Drosophila melanogaster: one gene and its partners. Changing the gene in region 2 together with the main gene of any one other region gives a genetic interaction. Each region holds a gene or a part of one and is shown on either strand. Other genes may lie near its edges. The genes, in order: Pka-R1, Itpr, IP3K2 and sl.

Region 1 (5,152 bases), on a different chromosome or scaffold from region 2:
GATAAAATATGGGTAGAAATTTGATCAGACATAAAACCTTTATTTCTAAACAGTACAACCGCTTATCGTTGCCTTGAGGATCAATGCTTGGGCCTTCCTGTGTTATGTCCTTGGTTTATCAGATCCGTATGATCGATTTCTTAATTTCCTGGTTCACTGGAGGTTCCTCAAGTTCATAGATTCTAGCAACGCAAGTTGTTTACATCATTTGGGAAATTTTGACTGGTTCCTGATCAATAAAAATGGCCGAAAAGTGGTGTAGGAAAGGGTGTGGAAGATGAAACCTCCGATTACATCGAGCACTTGGGCTTGGAGCTCTTGGGCTTAAGACACCTTGGCTTTGCCTTCGCCTTGCCGCATTCCATCTTCTTCCTGGGGCGGGGACATGCCTTCCGGGGTCGGGCGCCCTTGGGCTTCGGTTTGCCGCAACTGCGACGTTGCTTCGAGGTTTTCGCCCGTGGTTTGGGGCAACTCTTCCGCACCCTGGGCTTGGAACACTTGTTCTCCTTTCTTGGAGTGCAGCTATTGGAGCCACCGGCACCGAAGAAAGTGTCTGCGCAGCCACTTATTTCAGAGTGCATTCTGTGCTCGCCCTCACTAGAACGCTGAAGACTGCTCACACTGTTGGGCTCTACATGAAAAGTGTCCAATGGTTCCTGCGGAAGTGCATTACGATTGCATACATGTGCATTTCGTTTGTATTCGACACCTAACTTACCGCAGAATACTGGCATCGATGACGGAATGACATTTCGTTCCATCGGGTTTCAGCAGCCCGTCTTATCTCGTTATTCGAGTAATATTCTCCGTAGCGCTTCTTAAAGTCCCTCAGAAAATTAACAAAGCCAGACGATGAGGCGTATTCGTCCTCTGCCCTATTGATATCTTCTTCAATGTCGGAGGCGTCGGAATTAACATATTCAATTGATTTTTTATAGGTTTTCACTGATTTTGTTACTGCCACCTCCGGCTTGCTATCCTTTTGTTTCAGATTACTCATTTTGCAACCAATTCTTGCTCGACAGAAATTTTCACAAACAAATTTGTTACTCAGAATTATACAAAAAAAAATTATATATGTATAAAAAACTGTACTCAATTTTATCGAAATATTTTAGTTGTTCCTCGTTCAAAGGTAGTGTACTAACTGTTTGTATGCTGGCTTCAGCGTGGAGACCTGGAAATTGGATTTGAATGAAGGCTCAATTCTACTATGATCAAGAAAAAGTTCCTTTTTTCAAACCAAGTTGGCTGTTTTCAAAGTACATTTCGCAGATCGGCGCCATATTTCCATGGTTATTTTTGTATACTATATTCGTTCAAGATATTGTAGGAGAAAATGTTTAATGTTTCTTGATCAGTATCAGTCGAGCTGGCCATATTCGTCCGTCCGTGTGTCTTGAAAAAGGTTTTAATATTCTGTTTGCAATCCGACTAGCTGAGTAACGCGTATCTGATATTCACGAAATAGAATAGCGTACTTCCTTGTTTTCAATGAAATGAAATGAACAAATATTTTACAAAAGCAATACTAAATGTTATATTATAATCTGAACAAAATATGTAAGAAATACCAGAAATGTCGTTGGTGAGGGAAGGTGTTTAAATTATCCTGTGCGACTACGTTCCTTTCCGGGGTTTCAACCACTTGGTAAGCAACAAGCGGCATTTTGCTGGTTAATGCTGCCGCTTAAACGAAAATCAATACAACTTGCGGTCTATTTTCGAGCGGATTGTTAAAAAAAAAACCCATCCATAGGTGGATTTCCCAGCACGGATGCTTTATTTTCGGCTTCCTGCTTCGGAGAACTGTATTCCCTCTGTTCATTGTGAAGCTTTAAAGTTTATTTTGTGAGACAGGCTGCAGCAAAAGCTTGCAATGCTGCAATGTAAATAGAGCAGCGCACCTGTGGAGGTCCTTTCCACATCGTCCTGTTCCCCCTCTCACTTGCCAAGCGACTTTCCTTACCCCTTTTTCTCCCAACTTTGATTTTGAGTACGCCTGTGTGTGTGCGCCGGACTCTCTGGGGCAAGTTGCCTGTTGAATGCCGGACCCGCTGTCAGTTGGATTAGCATCCTGACGCCGTGCAGAAGCATCCTGCTTCCACCTAGTTCACTCCGTTCGTTTGCTTTTTATTTGTTTGCCTCCGCGCGCCATGGGCAACCAGTTGAGTGTGAACAGCATCCAGGATGCGGTCATCGATCGCTTCCGCTCGGTGGCTTTGACCACCGATGCCAACGGCGCCATGCGCATCCGTTCGTTTTCGGAGGGCGTGGTGGCCACCACCCACCATCATCATCAGCATCAGCAGAATCAGCAGCAGAGTCCCCATTGCAGTGGACGCGGCGGACGCATCCTGCGCGAAAGTAGCATCGATGGCGGGGTGGCCATGTTCGATGCTCTGCTCCGCGATGATCACGAACATCGGCTGAGCTTGGATGCAGTGCATCGCATGCGGCATGTTCGCACCTCCTGCACCACAATTCCCGAGGAGGATGCCGTCAGCGATCGCAGCCTGCAGATTCATCTCTCCACTCTGGCCCGCGAACGTGAACAGGAACTTGAGCTTGAGCGCCAGCGGGAACGCGAAGTAAGTTGGAAAGTCGGAAAAGTTTCCAATTTCCGGAAAACAGTAGGAAATCACTAGGAATTTGTGCTGAAAAGCTTTTGGCGGAAAAAAGATTTAAAGTGTGGGAGTGTGCGCATACTAGAAAGCTTTGAATCGTTTGAAATTGGTGTCTTGTTGATTCGATTTGTGACTACAAATCACGATGTCGTTAGTTCTAACACAAATAAAAACATGCAAAAAAATGTTTACCTTATTCCGCGAGCACCTAATACCCTACTTAGAATATAAAAATTTAATAAAATATGAAAAAGTTTGCTATGTTTTACGTTAAGGCCTTTTAATTCTTTCAAAATATCTTTCGTATCTGAAGAAAAAGAACGAACAGGAAGAAAATGTTCACATTTTATTTAAACATTATAAATTTATTTTTTGCAAAAAGGTAAATGGAAAGGGGTTAATTTTTGGGATACAGTAGAATATAGTAACCTAAACTATATACTAATTTAAAGAAAGTGCATTTCATAATGCCCCACGAGCTGCTTTTTGCGACAAAATGTCGAGTTTGCACTTGAAACTCGAAGGGAATTCTAACGAAATCAAAGCGCTCCCTTCGCTTTCCCTTTAGCACTTCTGGCCCTTTTCTCCCGTAAAAGCTTTTCCCTTTGCCAGGACTTGCGTCACAAGTGCGAGTGTATGTGTGTGAGGTGGTGGGCGGGTGTGCGAAAAACTTTACTTTTTGGCCAGTCGTATTTGTATGTATATATTTGTGTATATATAGAAAGGTTGCCTTCGCTGGGCGTGTTGGTGAAGGTCATCCTGTCGTCGTCGAGATTGTGTTTGTGTCTGGCTGCTAGAGTTTGCTTTCGTCCTTTCGTTTGTCTCAGTCACTTTTTGGCCACCGTCAGTTGCCCATCGTTGTTCCCAATTTTAGTTTTTTCGCCAACTTAACTGCTCAATTTACTAGTTACCATTCACCTTTTGCGGTCGTTACTTTTCGACTTTCTTGCCTGATTGATGGCCACGCGAATTCCGCTGCTCCGATCATCGAATTGTCCGGTTTAACGGTCGTGTTAATGCCGCTTTTACGGCTGTCATCGCTCCGTCCGGCGCTGTTTACGCCGGCTTCTGATTAACAGCGGAATCGTGCCAAAAACTACGCCGGACACTTTGTCCCCAGTGTCCGCCATAAAGTACAGACAAACAACAATCAATTGTGTTGGCCAAACGAGGTTGGAAAAGTGCCAAAGCGGAAGTGACAGGAACTCGACCAGCGAAATGGTGGGTAAAATTCGAAGTGTTAAATACGGTTAACTTGGTAAATATTTCGGAAAGAATTGGTTTCAATAGCGTTTTTATAGTGAGGAAGAGAAAGGGTCCCATTGCATTAACGCTTAAGAATCCTTAATCTTTAACATTCAAGTATTCATTCTTCTTCCGTTCCTTCATATTTCTATATTATCCCATTGAAAGGTATACAATTCTCATTTTTAGATATTTATTAGAACTCAAAGTTGTTAATAGTAATATTACTTTCCGATTATCGAATTGCCATCAAGGTATAACTGGATACATTTTTCTTCCAAGCTATATAAATAGTCTCCTTGAGGAAAAACAAATTGACAACATTTTTTTTTAATGAAAATCAACAATTTTAAATGAAATCAACACTCGTATTCTATCCAATCTGTTTGTTTCCTTCCAGAACGCAAAGCATTTAACATACAATTCCAATGAAAAATTTCCCCGAAATATGGCCTCGAATTATGCTCTGTTTACTTGATTAAATTGTTATTTTACTACCTTTTATTTCCTTTTTATGCACTCGCATCGCATTAAAACGATTTCTGTGATATTTTTAAGTGGGTCCGATGAAAGCAATTTATGAGCTCAAAGAAGCTGGGGTCGGAAAAATCGAATTTTTGAAATTTGAAAGCTGGAATCGTTTGCCCATTTTTTGCCCATGTTTGCCCACCAATTAGTTTTTTTTGCCCACGTCCAGTTTTTGAGATATGAATTTTCGAAAAAGTTCGAAAATTTTCGAAAATCAAAAATTTCGCTTTTTTCAAAATTTTTTTTTTTAAATCGCAATAACATCGTTTGCCCACGTTTGCCCACCCTTTAGAATTTTGAAAAAATTTATACTTTAGAAAATATAAGGCTTTTAAGTTTACCTCGGTCTAATCAGAGAGTAAATCGTTTGCCCATCTCTTAAAACCAAATATTATCAACAAAAAAGGTTTGCCCAACCATTATTATTAGTTTTTATCGTTTGCCCACCCTTTAAAAAACCTTTAACAAAAATTTTTTTTCGATTGCCCACATTTAAAATACACCCAATTTCGTTAGCCCACCTCTTTAAAATAAAAATTTCCAATAAAAAACGTTTGCCCACCATTTAAAAATAAATAATTTCGATTGCCCTGCGCTCTTTAAAACTAAATAATTTCGTTTGCCCATCCTTTAAAATTCATTTTTAACGTTTGCCCACCCTTTAAAAATAAATTATTTCGTTTGCCCACCCTTTAAAATTTGTTTTTTTCGTTTGCCCACTCTTAAAACTAAATAATTTCGATTGCCCACCT
Region 2 (5,192 bases):
GAAAGGTGCATTGCACTTTAAGTGCCGAAGTGCTCTTCGTCATTAGGATTTTATGGACACCTTTTTGTGCATAACAGCGATAATTTATTGCACAAGAATCCAGTTTTGTGATTTCCTTCATTGTACATGAGTACAGTGCGATGAAATCACTTATTTCATTTGAATGGTTCTTTACATTTGTACCCAGTTTGTAATATTATATATTTTTATTTAGAATAAGTGACAAATAAGTACCGATAATACTTTAATGTTGCCAAATAGTAGACAATATTGTAAATCACTTAGCTCAACTAAAGACCATCAATAATTAAAAAGATAATTATGATTATAAATCTTAGCTTTCTAATAACCAAACCCCTACAAACTCCTTCTATATATCATTCTGCAAACCTGGTTCATAACAACAAAACGCATTTAAAGTAATATTGTATAATTATAGTTCAATTTGCACATTTAAGCACTCTTTCGCTCTAAGAGCTCCAGTTGGTTAGCTCATGGATATTGGATTCTGCTGGCGCATTACCGCTTGTCATCATCCCATTTCCGAATCATTTCCCCTTAAATTATGGAAATGAATCGAACCAGGTCGGGTTAAACACAGATACGAGTATGTGAGCAGCTTCAAGCGATGGAGGAATGGTCGGAAATGAGCAGGTAATTGCATTTGGCCACCGACTTACCCGATTCTCGATGAGCTTGTCGCACACATTGAAGACCGTCTTGATGGGATTCTTGTCCATGCGGATGGTTTTGTCGTAGTAGGTGACCTTCCGCGGCACATACTGCTGATCGAAGTTGAGGTGCTGCGGTTGGATGGGAAAGCGTGATTATCGCATTCGGATTAGTGGAGCATCCAGTTAGTCAATGGGCTTGCCTTTATTGTGGTGCTAAAGTGCTCCTCGCTGTCGGAATTGCTCAGTACGCCGCCAATGTTGTACGTCGAGGGATTATCCGAGGCAGTGTGCCTCTGGGCGGCATCAATTGGCGCCACCAGGAGAACAATGGCGAGCCCAAACAATGGCCGGCAAAAAACAAACTCAGCCATAGCCATGATGCGGAAGTCTATAGTTTCTGGGGGAGGATAAACGAGGTGTTTTGTGCAACGATTTCAATGGTTTCTCGAGCAAACATCCAGCATTTTCTGCAAGTCGAAAAGGGGAGATGCCGCATATTAATGGCATTTTCCATTTCCCATTGCAGCAATGAGAATGGTCAAAGACAAGATTTCTTAAAGTTTATTTTGCTCATTTTTGAAAAAGCAGAACTTTGAATTCGCGGTGTTTTCTTACATATGTGGTAATGCCAGATCGCGAAAAAATGAATACCAACGCAAGATCGTTAGAGTGACCATTTCATTGTGTTAATAGGCATTAGAAGCAAAATCTAAGTATGTGAGTCGATGAGTGGAAAGATTTTAATCCTCGGCCAATCTATCAACATTGATCTGGAATTTTCAAGCACAGATGACTAAAAAACTATGAATATTTGAATAAGATTCAAATCTCTACCCTGTGCTGCCATGCTAACTAGTATTTAGAGTATGTTAGTATTTTATCCATGCGCTCCCATCTAATTTATCATATGGTTGGTTCTGCGGTTTTCAAACACTTGCTTATGTCATTCCTTGTCAATAGTAAATGCAATTAACGTGTTACTGTCAATAATTCTATATATGTGTGCATAAAACAGTTAAGATGTCAATTACACCATTTATTAACGGCTAACTAGTATTTTTCGCGCGGTCACACTAATCGATCATATGGTTCGACGGTTTTTAAACACTTGTTGCTCGACCGCGCTTTCAGTCGGACGTGTTTTCGCTGGGGTTTTCCGCGTCGGTCCGCCTTATCTGCGCTGCGCTGGCACTTCGTTGGAGTGAGGGAGACGGAGGAGCTGAGCGGTACGGTACACGAAGTCGCGCATGACGCGGCGCTCTGGAAAATTGCATTTTCATACGCCTTGAGCGCGTAATTTATGCCCGAAATGCTGGCCAATTTCAATTTGTTGGCCTAAACGCGACGTGCGTGTGTGGGTGTGTGTGCGTGATTGGGAAAAGTGCGTAGAAATCGACAATCGTTTTGTTTGCCCGCGCTGCTGCTGCGCTGCGACTGCGCTGCTTGTGGGTGGTCAACGGGATCGTGGGGTCGGGAGAGCCGATTGTTGACGTTGTATCGCATGCTGCCTCTCTTTCCCGCAGCCGGAATTGTTTGTCGCGTGTTTTAACGGTTATTTCTTATTGACAAAACCTCCTCTGCCGACGTCGCTGCCCCGGCATTGTTATTGTTATTGTGTGTGGTTTCTGGGCCTTCTTCTTCCTCCTCACCGTATTCCCACTTATTGTTATTCTCTCTTTTCCGCGGCTAAGTGCGGCCCACTCAAGGTGAAAATATATTAAGTTCTTTCGAGTGCCCGCGAGTGTTTGCATTTGAATAAAATAAATATAAAGTCAAATTCGATTTACGATCGTCGTCTATCGACGGATGATTCAATACCAATCACAATACAGTAGCACATCTCTACAAGGGATATTTTACATTACATACATTCTACGGTGAGTATCCCACGACAACGACAACGACAACCTGTTGCCAATCGAGCCCAGTTACTGGTTTTTCTGGTTTCCCGAAGGGCTTGCCACCAATTTAAGTAGGTCATAAGGCAATAAGCCTATCACGACCGAACCGATAGGCTAATTACCGCGATAGCTATTATCTAGCAGTCACGCCCTCGCCTTTTGATCCCACTTGATTTTGATTTCGTTCTTGCCTCTTGCTTTCGCTCAATAATTGACAATAAGCCAAAGCGAAAGGGCCAGAAATGCGCTGAGATTCAATTACGTTGCAGTGGCCACTATTTGTTGCTTACACGAATAGAAAAGCTAAGGAAAAAACATATAAATCCCACTGATTGAAGACATTTGCTTATCGGGGGTATGGTTCTATGCCAGCTACTCAAACAAAATATAAATAAATCCTTAGGGAATCAACTCCGAAGTCAAGTGTTGATTTCAACTCAAGCCACTATGTATATGAACGTGATGCTTTCCAAAATTGTTTTGTGGTGAGAGGGATTGTTTGTTGTTATACAAAAATTCTTCAAATGGGAGTGTTTAAGAATTATAATGACGAAGTAACATAGTCATAATTAAAACTCGTATTTACTCGTAGAGTGAAAGGGTATACCGGATACATATATTATTGATCAGATCGAGATTTCGGGATCTATAAAATCTAGATGTGCAAGTTTAATTCACAACGTCCGCGCCCACTCTAACGCCCACAAACCGTTCAAAACAGTCACGCCCACAGTTTCGAGAAAAGTTTGGATTTTTTTAATCCTAATATTTCTTTGTCAGTTCCTAAAGTTATGCAAATCACTTTTGGAAATTTCTCACTTGACGTCCTCTGAACTGAATGCATCTGCGTTCGAGAAAATCAACTTAGCGCCGATATTTTCTCTCAGTGCACACATCTTGATTGCAGACAGCGGAAAAGAGAGAGAGAGCGAAAGGGAGAGAGAGAAAGAGAGATGCTGACTGGGCGACGCGTGCTTAATTAAGCGCCACATTGTTGTTGGTGTTGACTGGGCAGGTGGCGAGCTATAGAGTAAGAGGCAAGATGAGGGATACCAAAAAAGATGGGGGAGGGGGATGAAAAGTGGACGTGTTGAGCCTGCTGCACGCGATGATTTCCATTACCTGGGGTAAAAAAATGGCTTTTCATCGCCAAATTCCTCTCTGGCCAAGTTTTTTTGTTGCGATTGAAAGAGCGCACTTCACTACTTCTTGATTTGCATGTAATCATGATTGGGTTAATGGGCCTATGATCACACAATTACGATCAATTATATTCACATTATAATGTCGAACAAATTACTAAATTATACAATCAATGGGACCAATAGATAGTATGTGCAGTGAGTTTCATTTATTGAAGATAACCAGTCAATTGAGATGTCATTTGCGGGTACTTTGATCAACCGGCTAGAAAATGTACATATATATTCTAATTTTTAAACGCTAGTTCGGTATAGTATTAAAATTTTTTTGATTATTATGTTTTTGTGCAATTATATATGTATATTTAAAAAAAAAAGTTGGAACTTGACAACTATTTTCTCTTTAACCACGATTCAGATGTCATCAATTTTAATATAAAGAGTTAAAAAATTCACAATTTGTTTTTGTTATTCTCTCAGAATCCCTCAACTGTAGTTGATAATTCTCCAAAAGTTGTCGTATAATTGCATTTGACATACTGATAACGTTTGTGCATGATTTTTAATCAATAAATTTTACCAACCAGCCAAATTTGTTCAGTTTTGCCACTTGTCACCATTTAAACAAACTGACCACAAAGATATTACATTAAATAAATAAAACACATTGAAGATTCTCAGGTATGCTTATTTTTTTGACCACAATCGTGTGTTTGCTCCAATTTATGTGGGCTTGCCATGAGCATGTGCATAATTCGAAGCTGAATTGAGCAGCTGGTGGGGATTTTGTGGAAGGGGGGGCGGTAAAGTGGCCGGGGTTGGCGCCTGGGAGCGCCAGCAATTAACATAAACAGGCAAATTGTGTAAGCGACATTCTGGAGCTGCAAATAAAATATAAGCGCCCGCCCCCCGCCCATCCGATGTGCACAGCCCACTTGGCTGCAATTATTAAGGGTGTGTGTGTGTTTGTTCGGATGCGGAGGTCGGGTGTTATCAATGAAGCAGACTGGATGAGAAGCAAAGTGTTCTCATCAGCGCCAGTCTGGTGTGATTGTGTGAGTATCTGTGTGCTTCACGTTTTTTCTGCTCAGGTGGGCCGAGGTCTCTTGGCTTTTCAATTGCTTTGAGCCACCAGACAGGGCCCAGACTTTTAATGAATGGCCAAATTGTTGAAAGGCGCGCTCAGCACATGTGCCCTGCATTACTCATTACTCATGTTAAATGGTTCTTAAAGGATTCTCACTTCACTCTCACTTCGCCGTCCGTCTGATCTCATATTCTATTAATCCCCATAAATATTTGATCAACCCCCACAGTTTCAAAGCTCCCAGCATCCAGATGGACGAACAGCGCACCGAATTTCCCCAAGGAAAGCTGTTACTCTCACTCACTCTGTTTTGTTAAGGGCAGCAAAATTCCCAAATGAAACGTATCGAACAAACATTCAATATATACTATCAACTATACTATGTACA
Region 3 (5,389 bases), on a different chromosome or scaffold from region 2:
GTATAGTAATTATTGCAACTCATAAAAAAAATTTTGCAATTTGCTACGGAATTTCTGCAACTACAATCAGTTTTGACGTAGGTCGTTGGTTTGCGGTTGAGCTATACAAATGTACTGACATATTTCGTCTTTCGTAAGTCATGTACGTAAATGGTTTTTGGTTTTTTATATTTTTTTTTTGTGTATAGCGGACTGTTCTCGGTTTTAATTTCGAAGAATTTAATCTGGGGTCGATTTCGTTTGGTTTTGTGTTTTGCAAAAAGTTGGTGTAAAGCGATAAAATGTTATTTGCGTCATTTGGTCTGATAGTTAACTATAAAAAGCAAGATGGGAACTTATTTATAAGCAGAAACATGAACACGATACGAACATGGGCAGAGCTATTTAATTTTGTTCATATTTCAACGGGAATTTTACAGCTTGTAATTGTTTACTAAAGACTGCTGCCAGTTTTAAACCATACAATTTAGTTTTTAATAAGTGCTTGTACTGCAAAATTTAATTATACCTTTTGTTTCGGTAAGCTTCATAAATCTGATCTTGAAAAACTAGTTAGTGCTTTAGTTGCTTTCCGGGAAAAGTTCTTAGTCAGCTGGGTTTTTTTTAATTCATTTTTTTTTTTTGGCGATAAATCACCGATTCGTCCCATTGTGCGTGACTGTGCGCTTGTAGTGGTGCTCGCAGAGTGCTTTATTGCATTGGGCTCGCATCGCCTGTCAGTCTGTCACTGTGTGTGCTGGTGTGCGTGCGCCTCTCTGTGTGTTCGCGCGTGTGTGTGTGTGTGCGACGTATCTGTGCCCGCTCAGTGCTCTGTGCTCAAATGCAATTTACAATTACGCGCGGCAATTGGAGCAGCTACCGTTGTGTGCGTGCGTACGTGCGGGATCATTGCACATTGCGTCAACGTTTCAAGATCACAATTACAATTACCCCGACGCAGTGGCAGTTGCAGTAGCACCAAAAAATCCATCTCAATTGCGAGAGAACCGAACAGTGGCAAAAGCAACCGAAAATTAAGTAAGGCACAGCAAATTTGTCGAAGAAAACTATCAACAATACAAGTAAATAAGAACGGCAGAACGGCCGCCCGCCCCCACAACAGCTGCTCTCCGTTGATGCGCCACTCCACTCCGCGGCTCAACGATTCTTCTATACAATTCTTCGAGCCTCCTCCCCTCGCCCATTCTCGCCCCACGAGACTCCCCTCCCCCCGCCCCCCACGCTGCTCTTCTCGATTCTTTTCGCCCCTCCCGCCGGCCCGCTGGAAAAAACGGGCAGAGCTGCAGAGCCGCAGAAAGCGATTTCAGTTCGGCGACGGCAGCGCACAGGTGCCATTCGGAAAGTGCGGACGTAGAATGTTTGCCGGGAATTCCAGTGGCATTTTCACCTATAGTTCCACTCGATTTTGCCTCGACGCCAGCGTTAGTAGCGCGTTTCGACGGAACACACAGATCGTTTTCCAACACCATAAGCACCATTTCACTTTTGAGTCTTTCCTTATCAGTCACTCCCAATCACTACCCAACCATCATCCACTACTCTTCACTAGTTTCTCTTTCTACTATCCTTTTTCTTATTATTCCCATCCTCCCTTTTAACTATCTTCACACACTCATTCTTAACGGAAATCTTCACTGTTTTTATGCTTTCTACTATCGTTCTATCCGCCAGCCTTTCACTTTTCACTCGCTTCTAACATTTACCATTCTAGCTATTTTTTTACCATCTCTTACCATTGAATTCTTTATATAAGCCTTAGTAAATTAGTATACAGAAAATAGTACGAATTTCCATTTTCCATTTTCTGCACTTTTTTCAACTTCTTCTGCTTACAACATCTTTCTTATCACCAATCCCATTACACTTTCTTGCATATTCCTATTTCATTTTTGCTGTTCTAACGAATCTCACACTTACTTCATTAGTCCCAACTCTTTGCTAACCTGGTGTATACATACCTTTACCCACCCCACCTCTACCCGCGATCCAGCCAATCCATCCATGTGAGATGAGTGCGTGCGACGGCGGTACGGGAACGGTTTCGCGAACGTCTGACGCCCCCGCTTTCCAATTCGATGTCATGCCAAAGATAACGACGTCGACGTCGACGTCGAAAGCGTCGGCAGCGAGGGCGAAAACGAAAACGACAGCAAAAGCAACAACAATTGGAAAAACAACAACGACGACAACGCGGAGAACGGTTAAAATTGAAAATAAATGGACGACGGCAGAGGCAACGGCGTTCAGTTATCAGCGGACAGCGGAGCAGATTGGAGCTAGTGCCCGAGCCAGAGCCAGAACCAAAGTAGCAGCTACAGTCAGAGCTAGAGCAAACCCAATTGCGGCCACATCCAATCAGCGAAGTGACATTGGTTATCCATGTGAGGTGGCATCCATCTCCGAGTTGGCCCTACGCAAGGCGCAGTTGAAAGCGCAATTTTTCGGCAATCAAGTGGGTGGATTAGCCCGCGATAGCGAGACAAGCAGCACCACTAGAATCACTCGCACCACCAACTACCGCAGTGCTTATCCCAGCTGCAAGACGGAACGAGGCAAGCCGGTGCAACAGCTAATCGATCAGTTCCAGGCCATGATTGTCCAGCAGCAGCAGCAGCAGCAGCTGAGCAACGAGGGCGAGCCCAAGACACTGCCCGGAGCCACTGCATCCAATTCGGATGAGGGCTGTAATGTCACCGGCGGCGGACTGAGTCCCTATAGCAGCGACAACGAGGATAACAGCCTATCGCCGAGGCAGCGCAAAATGAAGGTCACACGCTGTGCCAGTAGTGATTCCGCCCTGGGTCTGGACGTGGACGATGGCGGCATGGATGTGCCGTTGCCGCCACAACGTCGGATGACACTGACCGTAACGGATTTACCCCTGCGACCGGCCCTACTGCCACTGGCCGAACCCACAGCCCTGCCAGATTCGCCACTGACATCGCCCACCGGCGGTGGCAATCCGAGCGTGGGTGTGCCCACCAAGGTGCTGCTCGAGGAGCGAGTGGTAGCCGCACCGGGATCGCGACGTGAATCCACCCAGAGCTCGTACAGCGAACTGGGCGTCAGTGGACTGCCGCTGGGCGTGCGCTATGTGCGCACACCATCCGTCGTGGTTAGCGACTATTCGGATGACATAACCGCCTGCGGCATTAGCATGGAGGAAATGGAATACTTTCGTCTGCAGCGGGCGCGTGGTCAGCGGCGTTGTTCCCTGGAGGCGGGACATCACAGTCATAGCGGTGGACATGGCGCACATGGACACGGTGGATCGGGAGCGGCGGGAATGTCGCCGGGATGTGGCAAGGACGATGGCCAATCGGATGTCAGTGCAGCAAGCAGTTGCAGCAATCTCTACTATTGTGGATCCACCATTTCTGCCCTCGATGGTGGCGAGTGCATCGTGAATGGAGTTCGAGTTGCGCTCGCCAGGAAGAGCAGCACCCAGAGCAGCAGTCTCAGCGACGAGGAGGAGGAGGAGGAGGATGACGACGAGGATCGCGATGAGCAGGATCGCGATGAGGATGATCGCGATGCGGAGGAGATGCTTCAGGAGGATTACGAGCGGGGGGATCGCGAACGTGAGAGGGAGCGGCAGATCAGCGAACTAATGGCCGCCACGCAGCTTGGTGATCGTCAGCGGGATCGATCCAAGAAGGTAGGCGCCCGCGATGACGTCACAAACCAGGGAAATCTCAAACTAGACTAAAGAATTCGGGTTGGCAAAACGGACAAGTAACAAAGTGGAGCAGCCTAGTAAATTTAATATTAAACACTATTTTTTTTTTTTCGTTTTTAAATATCATTAATGATTGTTTGTGTTGTTGTTATCGAAAGCATAAAAGAGCAGTGAATGAGGGCAGGTCTGAATGGCAGCGAAAGAGATAAGCAAGTTGGTGCATATACACAGGGAGAAACGGGTGCTACGCGTAGATGAAATGTGGCATAATTAAAAAAAAAAAAAAACAATCTATTTTGCTCTAGAGCAGTATTATACCGTTTAGTTTATCAACTGCAAGACCATTATAACTATAGAAAAAGACTATAATAATAAGACTTTTACAATACGCATATCTATTAAATATAAAAAGAAAAAAAAAAACAAAGAAAATCCCTTGAACTACTGACTTGATAATGCGAATTACCACTAAGTTTCATCTTGTTTTAAAGATGATGAGATGATATATAGGCTCAAGAACGGTAATCCCGCGCCTTATCAGCTAATGGTTTTTCCACCTTGCATATGCAGGTCTTTTCTTTCAGTGTATGCGTTTGCTTAAAAGGCTATTAATTAATTAGAATTTTATCTTATCACTAAAATGAGGTTCTGTTACTCGGAGAAGTCTTTTTGTATTCTTCGCTTTTCGTTCGCTATAATAATTATCGTTTTTTTTTTTTTTTTTTTTTTTTTTTTGAGTGAATGAGAACGATATGATGGTGGTGATGTTGAAAAATAGGGGGTTCCTTGATAAAAAAAAAAAACAAGTATATATCTACGAAAATACGAAAACCTCGGATCCGTTGGTTTAATTCGTTTTTTTTTTCGTATCTAGAACTGCAAAACAAAACAACGGCAGCGATAGCGAGGAAAAGAGCTTATCTTAGTTAACTGTATACTGTATTATAGATAAATATTATGTACATATATAAGCCAGCACATATTTACGTTTATATAATGGCATCTTTTTTTTTTTGTGGTTTATTATTCCTTTTGTTGCTGTTGCTGTTGTCAGCAGACGGCGAAAAGTTTGTAAAGCAAATAAAAGTATTAGAAACCGAATTTTCGGAGTCATGATAACGATAATAAAGCAATTCACCTGGATATCTCATACATACATACATGTACATATGTGTATATGCAAGAGATATGGATATGTATGTTGTCTGATCGTATATGTATGTGTGCCAATGTGTGTTTGGTTAATAATGTTACGCGCTTATCAAGCGGGTTTATCTGCCTGGCATTCATATAGCAATATATGGTATATATGTATATATATACCCTCACCGCCGACAAAAGCAATAATTGGAGGCATCCCAGAAATGGCCTGTTGTTCTTCTACTTTTTTTTAAGCCACGGGCATGCGGCTTATATATGCTTAATACGATATACTATCTACTGTATAGTGTGGTTATATCTATGATGATCCCATCCGCCAGTCTAACACAATTGTATAAAGCTCTGTCTTACGGGTTGTTGTTTTTTTCTTTTATTTTTTTTTTTATTATTATTTTTTTTTCTTTGCGGTGGGATGAGTGATAAGCGATTTTGGGTGATATCACGCATACGTCATCGTTCCCATTAGGATTCGCATATATGTCTATATGACACACGAGCCCTCGTGTCGTTGGGGGATTACTCTATAAGTCCCGGGGATTGTGTTTATAA
Region 4 (8,251 bases), on a different chromosome or scaffold from region 2:
GAATTTCTACATCTGTTAATGTTGGTTTTACTTCCAACTTTCTAATTTCCAAAATAATTTCGGACTGCTTCTTAAGGAATTGAATAGTCTTTTCTGACATCATTTTGAAAATTTTTTGTAATTTCTTAATATATATAGTACGTGTATATGTATTTTATATGTATTTATATATATATGTGTGTTTGGATAAACAGAAAATTCTTGTTTTGACTTAGCTGATGTCGTTGTTGTTGCTGCTGCTGTTGCTGCTGTTGTTGCTGCTGTTGCTACTGCTGTTGCTGCTTCTGCTGCTGCTGTTGTTGCTGCTTCTGCTGCTGGTAGAGGCTCCTTTGAATTTGACTTCCTTCTCTTCTTTAAGGCTCCGTCGATGTTTAAAGATGATTTTTTTTTTTTTTGCACGTTTTATTATTTTTGTAGTCCAGTCAGATTTTTTGTTTTTTAGCCATTTATTTCGGCATTTATGCTCTTTTGGCATATACACTGCACTCTATTTATGAGCTGATTTAATGCTATTAGAGCATTTATAAGGCACTGTTTTCAGGCACTTTTTATTTAATTTATGCTCTTATGGCATATACACTGCACTCTATTTATGAGCTGATTTAATGCTATTAGAGCATTTATAAGGCACTTTTGTTATGCACTTTTTAATTTCACAATTGCTGATGTATGGCCTCAAGCACGCCTTACCACAATTTATAATGGTACACAAAGCAACCTTTAGCTATAGACTATAAGGTGCTTGTTTTAAAACATAAAAGATTCTTTTGTATCTTTTGCTTTTTATATTTATACTCTGTTCCTTACCTTTGGTAGGGGGAAACAAGAGTCACTTATTTTTGCTACCTTTAGCTGTAAGATGCTTAAAGGAGCTGGCCTTTCTCTGAGTTCCTTACCTTTGGTAGGGGGAAACTGCAGAGTCGATTAAAGGCTCGATTGACCAAATGTAAAATCCCAAATAAGAAGACTTTACTCGTTGAGTTTTTGTAAGAAACTGATTTTATTTGGAAATATCTTCGGTTTAAATAGGTGACATGAGAATCGCATCTTAAAGTAAATGGCCTACGCAGAGGCCTAAGTAAATAGTCCCCGCCTTATCGAGGTCCCACGCTCGGGCACATCTGCCTATCTTGAGCGGCGAGGACCTTATCTGTGGTCTCCCACTAAGGGACTATTTTAGGAGGCGGGGAACGATCTCAAGTGACTGACTCATGTAGTGTGCACTTAAATTACATGTTTTTGAGCAATGCACCCATGTCGCCTTAGATAACAAAATCCTAAATATAATTTATCGCTCTCGATTCATTTACATAAGATATGAACGGAGCCCAAAATTGTAAGTCTTTAAATATATTCGTGTTCATGTGTGAACAGGTAGAAAAGCAGACAACAACAATCAGTCAATTGCCTAAGCTTATTAATTTGTAAATCTATTTTAAATACAATATCAAGAAAACTTATGTTCGTTTGGTTTCAAGTTAGTTAGTTAGGAATTCTTCAGGTCGGGATTTATTTTCCTATCTACATAAGGTGAGTTATAATAAAAGCTTTAAGCTTCTTCGATTTGGTTGGTATGCTTAGTTTTGCTTTATTCAAAACTAGGAATACTATTTACATAACGAATTTTTGAATCGCACTTCAAAACAAAAGATAAAACTGGTCACACTTTAATATTTCAGTTATTCAAGTATGTAAACAATGGAGCAATTTTTAAGCTAAACTTTTAAATAAAATAGTCAATTTATTTTTTTATTTCCTCACAATTCGAAATACACCGCAGTGTGAACGCCCCATTTGCGTGGATTTAGTATTTTCTGTACCCACATTACGGCCTGGCAACACTGGCACTTTCCTCAACAGCTGGCTTATCTTATCTGCTTCTGTGGTATTTTTTGGGTACAATTCGGATATTGCATTGTTAATCTCGGTTTATTGAGTCCCAGTGGCCGTGATTTGTGCATCGACCAGTTGGAAGAGAGGGAGCAGTTGATCTGCGAATAGTTCCACGCGCTGGCACCCATAGTTTGTATGCATTGCACTTAGTCTGGCGATCGGTTGGCGAGGCGAGAAACAACCTGTGGCAGCCAGCGGATGAGAACTGGATTCGATAGGAATCGACACGTTTGGACCGGACAGGATGAGCTGCTTTAGTGCGATGAGTGCCCCGCTGCTGGGCGAGATGGAGCAGACCATTGGTATGCTGGAGCGCGGCACCATCGTGACCAAGTTGTATGGGAAACAGCGTCGTCCGGATCGCCGCCACCTGATGCTCATACGAGAGACACGACAGCTGCTCTGGGCAACGGTGGCCACACAAACGCCACGCACCGACTACGAGGGCGCCATACAGCTGCGGGAGATTCGCGAGATACGGGTGGGCAAGCACTCGAAGGAGTTTCGCCTGTTTGCCGACGACTGTCAGCGCTTCGAGTCCAGCAAGTGCTTTGTCATACTGCACGGCAATCACTTCAAGCTGAAGAGCTTCTCGGTGGTGGCTCTGTCGGAGATCGAGGCCGACAATTGGGTGCGGGGATTGCGTTACATGGTTAAGGACACACTGGGAGCACCCTATCCCTTGCAAATTGATCGCTGGCTGCGTCGCGAGTACTATCAAATCGAGAATGTTAACACGCATTCCGCCAAGGCCACGGAACAGTCGCCAGCCCAGGTGACCATTAAGGACTTTAAGCTCTTTTTGGCCGGAGTTAGCTGTAAGATGACCACCGGCAAGTTCATGGAGCACTTTACCGAGGATGTGCGGCGCAAGCACGATCTCAAGTTTGATGATTTCTCGCGGCTATATCAGAAGTTGCTGCTGCCCAACGGATTTGCCAGCGTCTTGTCCGGATCGGGAGTGGCCAACTTTCCCTATTCGGAGGACCAACAGGTGGTGCGACCGGCGGAGCTGAAGCAGTTCCTCGAGACGGAACAGCGCGATGTGAGCGCCAGTGAGATCAGTAGCGCAGCCATTGCCTCCTTCATTCGGGACTTTGTTCAGGACGTGGAACGTGATGTTCAGGAGCCGTATCTCACCTTCCCGGAGTTCGTCGACTTTCTGTTCTCCAAGCAAAACGACCTGTGGAACAGCAAGTACGACCAAGTGTTCATGGACATGAACCTGCCGTTGTCCTCCTACTGGATCGCATCGTCGCACAATACCTACCTGACGGGCGATCAGTTCTCCAGTGAATCCTCCTGCGAGGCCTACGCCCGCGCTCTTCGCATGGGCTGCCGTTGCATCGAGTTGGATTGTTGGAACGGGCCCGACAATCTGCCCTACATATTTCACGGCCACACCATTACCTCCAAGATCAAGTTCATGGATGTCATCAAGACGATTAAGGATCATGCGTTCACCAGTTCCGAGTATCCGGTAATATTGTCCATAGAGCAGAATTGCTCCCTGGAACAGCAGCGGAATATGGCGCAGGCCTTGATCGAGGTAAGTTGACCTAATCGAATCTATTAATAACAACAATTTATATATTCCATGCAAACAGGAGATCTGCATGTTTGCTTTTTGATTCATTCGCTGTAATAATGAGTTCTTTTATGGCTTTCTGTGAGATTGCCTAACTTAATATATAATTGAAATGGATTTTGTATATTTCGATAGTTGGGAATATGTATGACAATATGAAGAATTCGCTTTTTATTCGTTTGAATCTAATTATAAATGTAACAGAGCAATATTTTTAGTTACTTAGATTTCAAGACGATGGTAATTAGATATTTCTTGATGCTTTAAGTATTAATCGCATAAAAATCCATTGACTTATACCTTTTATGACCCATTACAGGTTTTCGGGGATATGCTGCTTACGCAACCTTGTGATCGAAACGAGCAGCACTTGCCATCGCCATACCAGTTGCGTCGCAAGATAATCCTGAAGCACAAGAAGTTGCCGCAGTTTGACGACATCGCGAATGGGATTTCTAGCACGGGTTCACTGGGCCATAGATCATCGTTGGGCGGAGCGGGCGGTGGAGCGCATGGGGAGAACGATGGCGAGAATGTGCGCAAGGTGTTCAAGGAGGGACTGCTCTACTTCAAGGATCCGGTCGATAAGTCCTGGAATCTTTATCAGTTCGTTCTGACCCATCAGGAGCTAATCTACTCCTCTGAGATCAACGAGTCACGCAACGGAAACTCCGAGGATGATGACTTTGGGCTTTCTTCGTCGTGCTCCCTAAACAGCAATATGCAGCAAAAGCAAAAGGATACCTCGGCCAACGATGAGCTGCACTTCGGCGAGAATTGGTTCCATGGGAAACTTGAAGGTGCGTTTATTGGTTGACATATATGCAGTATATTCCATTTGTTTCGTTAACAATTTGCATTTTAGGTGGCAGAAAGGAGGCTGATGATCTACTAAAGAAGTACAAACACTTTGGCGATGGTACATTTTTGGTTCGGGAATCGGCCACGTTTGTGGGAGACTATAGCCTTTCGTTCTGGCGACGTAATCGCCCGAATCATTGCCGCATCAAGTTAAAGCATGAAAATGGATCGATCAAGTACTATCTAGTGGAGAATTTTGTATTCGATTCACTGTACTCACTGATCGTTTATTATCGCAAGAATATGCTGCGTAGCTCAGAGTTTTCGATTATACTGAAAGAGCCAGTTCCGCAGCCGAAAAAGCACGAGGATCAGGAGTGGTTCCATCCGAACACCACCAAGGAGCAGGCCGAACAGGGTCTATACCGGCTGGAAATTGGTTCGTTTCTAGTGCGGCCATCGGTGCAGAGCATTAACGCTTTTGTCATTTCGTTCACAATCAATCGAAAGATCAAGCACTGTCGCATTATGCAGGAGGGACGCTTGTACGGCATCGATACAATGAACTTCGAGTCTCTGGTCTCGCTGATCAACTATTATACCCGAAATCCACTCTATCGCAATGTTAAGCTCAGCCATCCGGTGTCGCAGGAGCTGCTGCGTCAGGCGCTAGCGGAGGCGGCACAGGGTGATCATAGTGGCGGTCACGATGACAACGGTGCCTCCAACTACATGGGCTCCAATCTGGAGGAGAATGTCACGTGCAAGGCGCTCTACAGCTATAAGGCGAACAAGCCAGACGAACTCTCTTTTCCCAAGCATGCCATCATAACGAATGTCCAGAGGGACAACTCGATGTGGTGGATTGGAGATTATGGTGGCATGATCAAGAAGCATCTGCCGGCAAACTACGTTAAGGTGAGATGCATATATAGATTTATTTGAAATTCAACTATATTCAACTCTTGAAAATTCCAATGTCTAGGTTATCGATTCAACTACCGAGGACTACAATTCGCTGAACGAAGAGGGCACGGATGGACGCACCGATTCCATTGAGATTTTCGGAGCTGTTGCCTCGCTCTTTGAGTCCAACGATCCGGGGATTATTTTCAAGCTGCAGATACAAACGCCAACGATGCAGAATCCGTTTGTGATTGGCTTCGACAATCAGGAGACGGCGTACGAGTGGATAAAGGCAATCCAGGAGGCAGCCCTTATCGCCAGTCAGCTGGCATCGGAGAGGCGGAAAAAGGAGCGCACTGCCCGGGTGGCCAAGGAGATGTCCGATCTGATTATCTACTTCCGCAGCGTGCCGTTCCGCGAGCACTCGTGGATATTTCAGGAAATGTCGAGTTTCCCCGAAACGAAGGCCGAAAAGCAGTTCTTCCAGCAGAACACACAACTGTTTCTCTCCTACCATCGCAATCAGATTAGCCGAGTGTATCCGAAGGGTCAGCGCCTGGACTCGTCGAATTTTAATCCCATGCCATTCTGGAATGTTGGATCCCAGATGATCGCACTGAACTATCAGACAGGCGATAAGGCCATGCAGCTGAATCAGGCCAAGTTTCGGAATAATGGACAATGTGGCTATATCTTAAAGCCATCGTTCATGAAATCTGACAGCTTCAATCCGAACAATCCGCTGTGCGATGGCCTAAGCGAAGTTAAAGTTAGCATACGTCTGATAGCCGCACGTCATCTATTCCGGGGCGGCAAATCGAACAATCCGCAGATCGTGGTCGAATTGATTGGCGCTAGCTTTGATACGGGCGTTAAGTATCGCACCAAAGTCAATGAAAATGGTTTCAATCCGGTGTGGAATGAATCGTGCGAGTTTAACGTGCGTAATCCACAGTTTGCGATCCTTCGCTTCGAAGTGCAGGACGAGGATATGTTCGCCGAGACGCACTTCATCGCCCAGGCGTGCTATCCGCTGACCTGCATTCGCCAGGGCTATCGCAGCGTCATCCTACGAAATAAGTTCAGCGAGGAGCTGGAATTATCGTCCCTGCTGATCAACATTAAGATAGCAAATGTTACCGCACCGTAAGAGGATTGCTGAGTTAGCTGGATCAATATCAATGATTCCAAATCGAGTGTTTGCGAAAACAATTGCGCTAGATCAAAAGGAAAGCGAACTTAATTCGCAAAAGCAATTTATCAACAACTTGTACATAAGAACATTTCATCGAACTATGAACCTGATTCTCTCACTTGTAATTTGTCTAAAAAGCTTAGGATCTGAAACGTATGATTTAGATTTAGATTACTTTCTATACACATCAGCAGTTATGGTTAGTTCATACTATACAATGAGTATTCAAATGGTAACAATGAATTCTGAACTCCTGGAACTGAAATCAAGTTTATGTAATCCGTATAATTTGTACACTTTTCCATAACACTAAGCATTCAAGTCTGTTGTCCTCTAAATGTTGTATTTGTGCGTGAGATTGATTCAGGAGAATAGAATGATACGAATATGTTTTAACTATTCGTCACCTCATTATAAGCATAAGCAAACCAGATTTGATTTGATTTCGATTTAGGGAACTTGAGCTATTTCCATTTTACCAGTTTTACCATCAAAAGTTAAGTACATTAAGTTGATTCCAAAATTAGAAATAGAAACAATTCATAAACAGCTCAATTGGCATCAATTTAATGGGCATTTGATATTCAGTTTCAGGATCAGCTTTTCATAAGTATTATATTACAATCTTCTTAAAGACTTTTAACTGAAGAAAATAGACCACTTTCATATGTTATCTGGAAAACTATTTTAGACCTTTCTCTTAGCACAAATACTCAAACAGCATTTCAATCATTTAGCATTTACCTTTTTTATTTTCTCTTTTAAAGCTTAAAGTAATAATACAATTTATAAAAAAAAAAGGGCAAAGGAAATTTAAACCACTTTGATTACATATGTCTTCCAGTTGTTTAACAATTACGATATACCACATAATTGTGTCTATGTTATTTAACCACGATTGTTGTAGCTAATGTTACAAAAACTAAAAGTTTGCAAACAATATTAAAATAAAATGTAATTATTCAATTACATTTAAATGAACGTGCCTTAAAATTCGAAATGATCGAAATTTTAAATGTTTGAACGTTAACTATTGAAGTACACCTGTTGCTAAAATAACAAATATTTGAAAAATAATAATATAGCTCAAAGATATCTATTTTTTATAAAATCAAAGTTCTAACTTAGCTTCTTCTCTAAACTGCGAAATCTAAATATCTAAAGCCTAAGTTCAATAGACGTATTATTACTAAATGCATTATATAATTTATATATCTAGATATTCATAAAATGCACTAGTCGATTTAAGAAGTGGAAATTGTGCTCCCTATGCGAATCATTTAGGATTTTAATCTGAAACTATTTGCATTCCATACGAATGCCCCACTGAAACGATCGATATCATTTGTCTTGCACTCGCATTTAATTATTTAACAAACATTCTGCTGTTTCCATTCGCACAATAGTTCTAATTTGGACATTTTGCGCGTTTGAGCGCATTAGCAAATCATGCTTAGTATATATGTATGTGTATATGTACCCAAAATGTATTTCATTTGTACGTTCCGTTTTTAAGTGATTTGTATCTGTACGTCTAATAGATATTTTCAACTGTTTTTGTAATTGCCTTATAATTCAGTAAACACACACCATACGTATACATTCATAATTATTTAATGCCAAATAAATGTTTATCCGGCGTTAGCTGTCTATATATATACAAAGTTGTTTCTATATGTTGGATTTCTGAGAATTGAGGAAGCCACCGAATGAAGTAGTTATGTTATATACCCTTAAACTCACGTACAGTTTCAACCCATTAGAAGCATTTGGAGTTTTCGTTTCCAACTTCCGGCTCACAATGAAATAAGCGACTATCCCTTTCTATTTCATGGTATCTTCGTATTTTCGTAGTCAAAATTTTACTT

Evidence for each region.
Region 1: of Itpr (region 2) and Pka-R1, changing one enhances a phenotype caused by changing the other (phenotypic enhancement), as found in Drosophila melanogaster (one study listed by BioGRID).
Region 3: of Itpr (region 2) and IP3K2, changing one suppresses a phenotype caused by changing the other (phenotypic suppression), as found in Drosophila melanogaster (one study listed by BioGRID).
Region 4: of Itpr (region 2) and sl, changing one enhances a phenotype caused by changing the other (phenotypic enhancement), as found in Drosophila melanogaster (one study listed by BioGRID).

Annotation. Positions count from the first base shown.
Region 1 is NT_037436.4:20,816,879-20,822,030, forward strand, and holds the start of Pka-R1 (protein kinase, cAMP-dependent, regulatory subunit type 1), read left to right. Parts: upstream 1-2,086; 5' UTR 2,087-2,156; coding exon 2,157-2,591; intron 2,592-3,452; exon of another isoform or gene 3,453-3,845; coding exon of another isoform or gene 3,846-3,848; intron 3,849-5,152. Other genes in the region: Mst77F (Male-specific transcript 77F), read right to left, coding at 291-656, 719-1,000.
Region 2 is NT_033777.3:5,515,338-5,520,529, forward strand, and holds the start of Itpr (inositol 1,4,5,-trisphosphate receptor), read left to right. Parts: upstream 1-1,779; 5' UTR 1,780-2,551; intron 2,552-5,192. Other genes in the region: Nmdar1 (NMDA receptor 1), read right to left, coding at 681-803, 875-1,051. UniProt on the Drosophila melanogaster protein: Receptor for inositol 1,4,5-trisphosphate, a second messenger that mediates the release of intracellular calcium. Together with MCU, has a role in oxidative stress-induced ER-mitochondria calcium transfer.
Region 3 is NC_004354.4:13,303,290-13,308,678, forward strand, and holds the start of IP3K2 (inositol 1,4,5-triphosphate kinase 2), read left to right. Parts: upstream 1-2,225; 5' UTR 2,226-2,590; coding exon 2,591-3,658; exon of another isoform or gene 3,659-4,715; intron 4,716-5,389.
Region 4 is NC_004354.4:16,348,449-16,356,699, forward strand, and holds sl (small wing), read left to right. Parts: upstream 1-1,866; 5' UTR 1,867-2,137; coding exon 2,138-3,442; intron 3,443-3,800; coding exon 3,801-4,281; intron 4,282-4,346; coding exon 4,347-5,200; intron 5,201-5,267; coding exon 5,268-6,338; 3' UTR 6,339-8,034; downstream 8,035-8,251.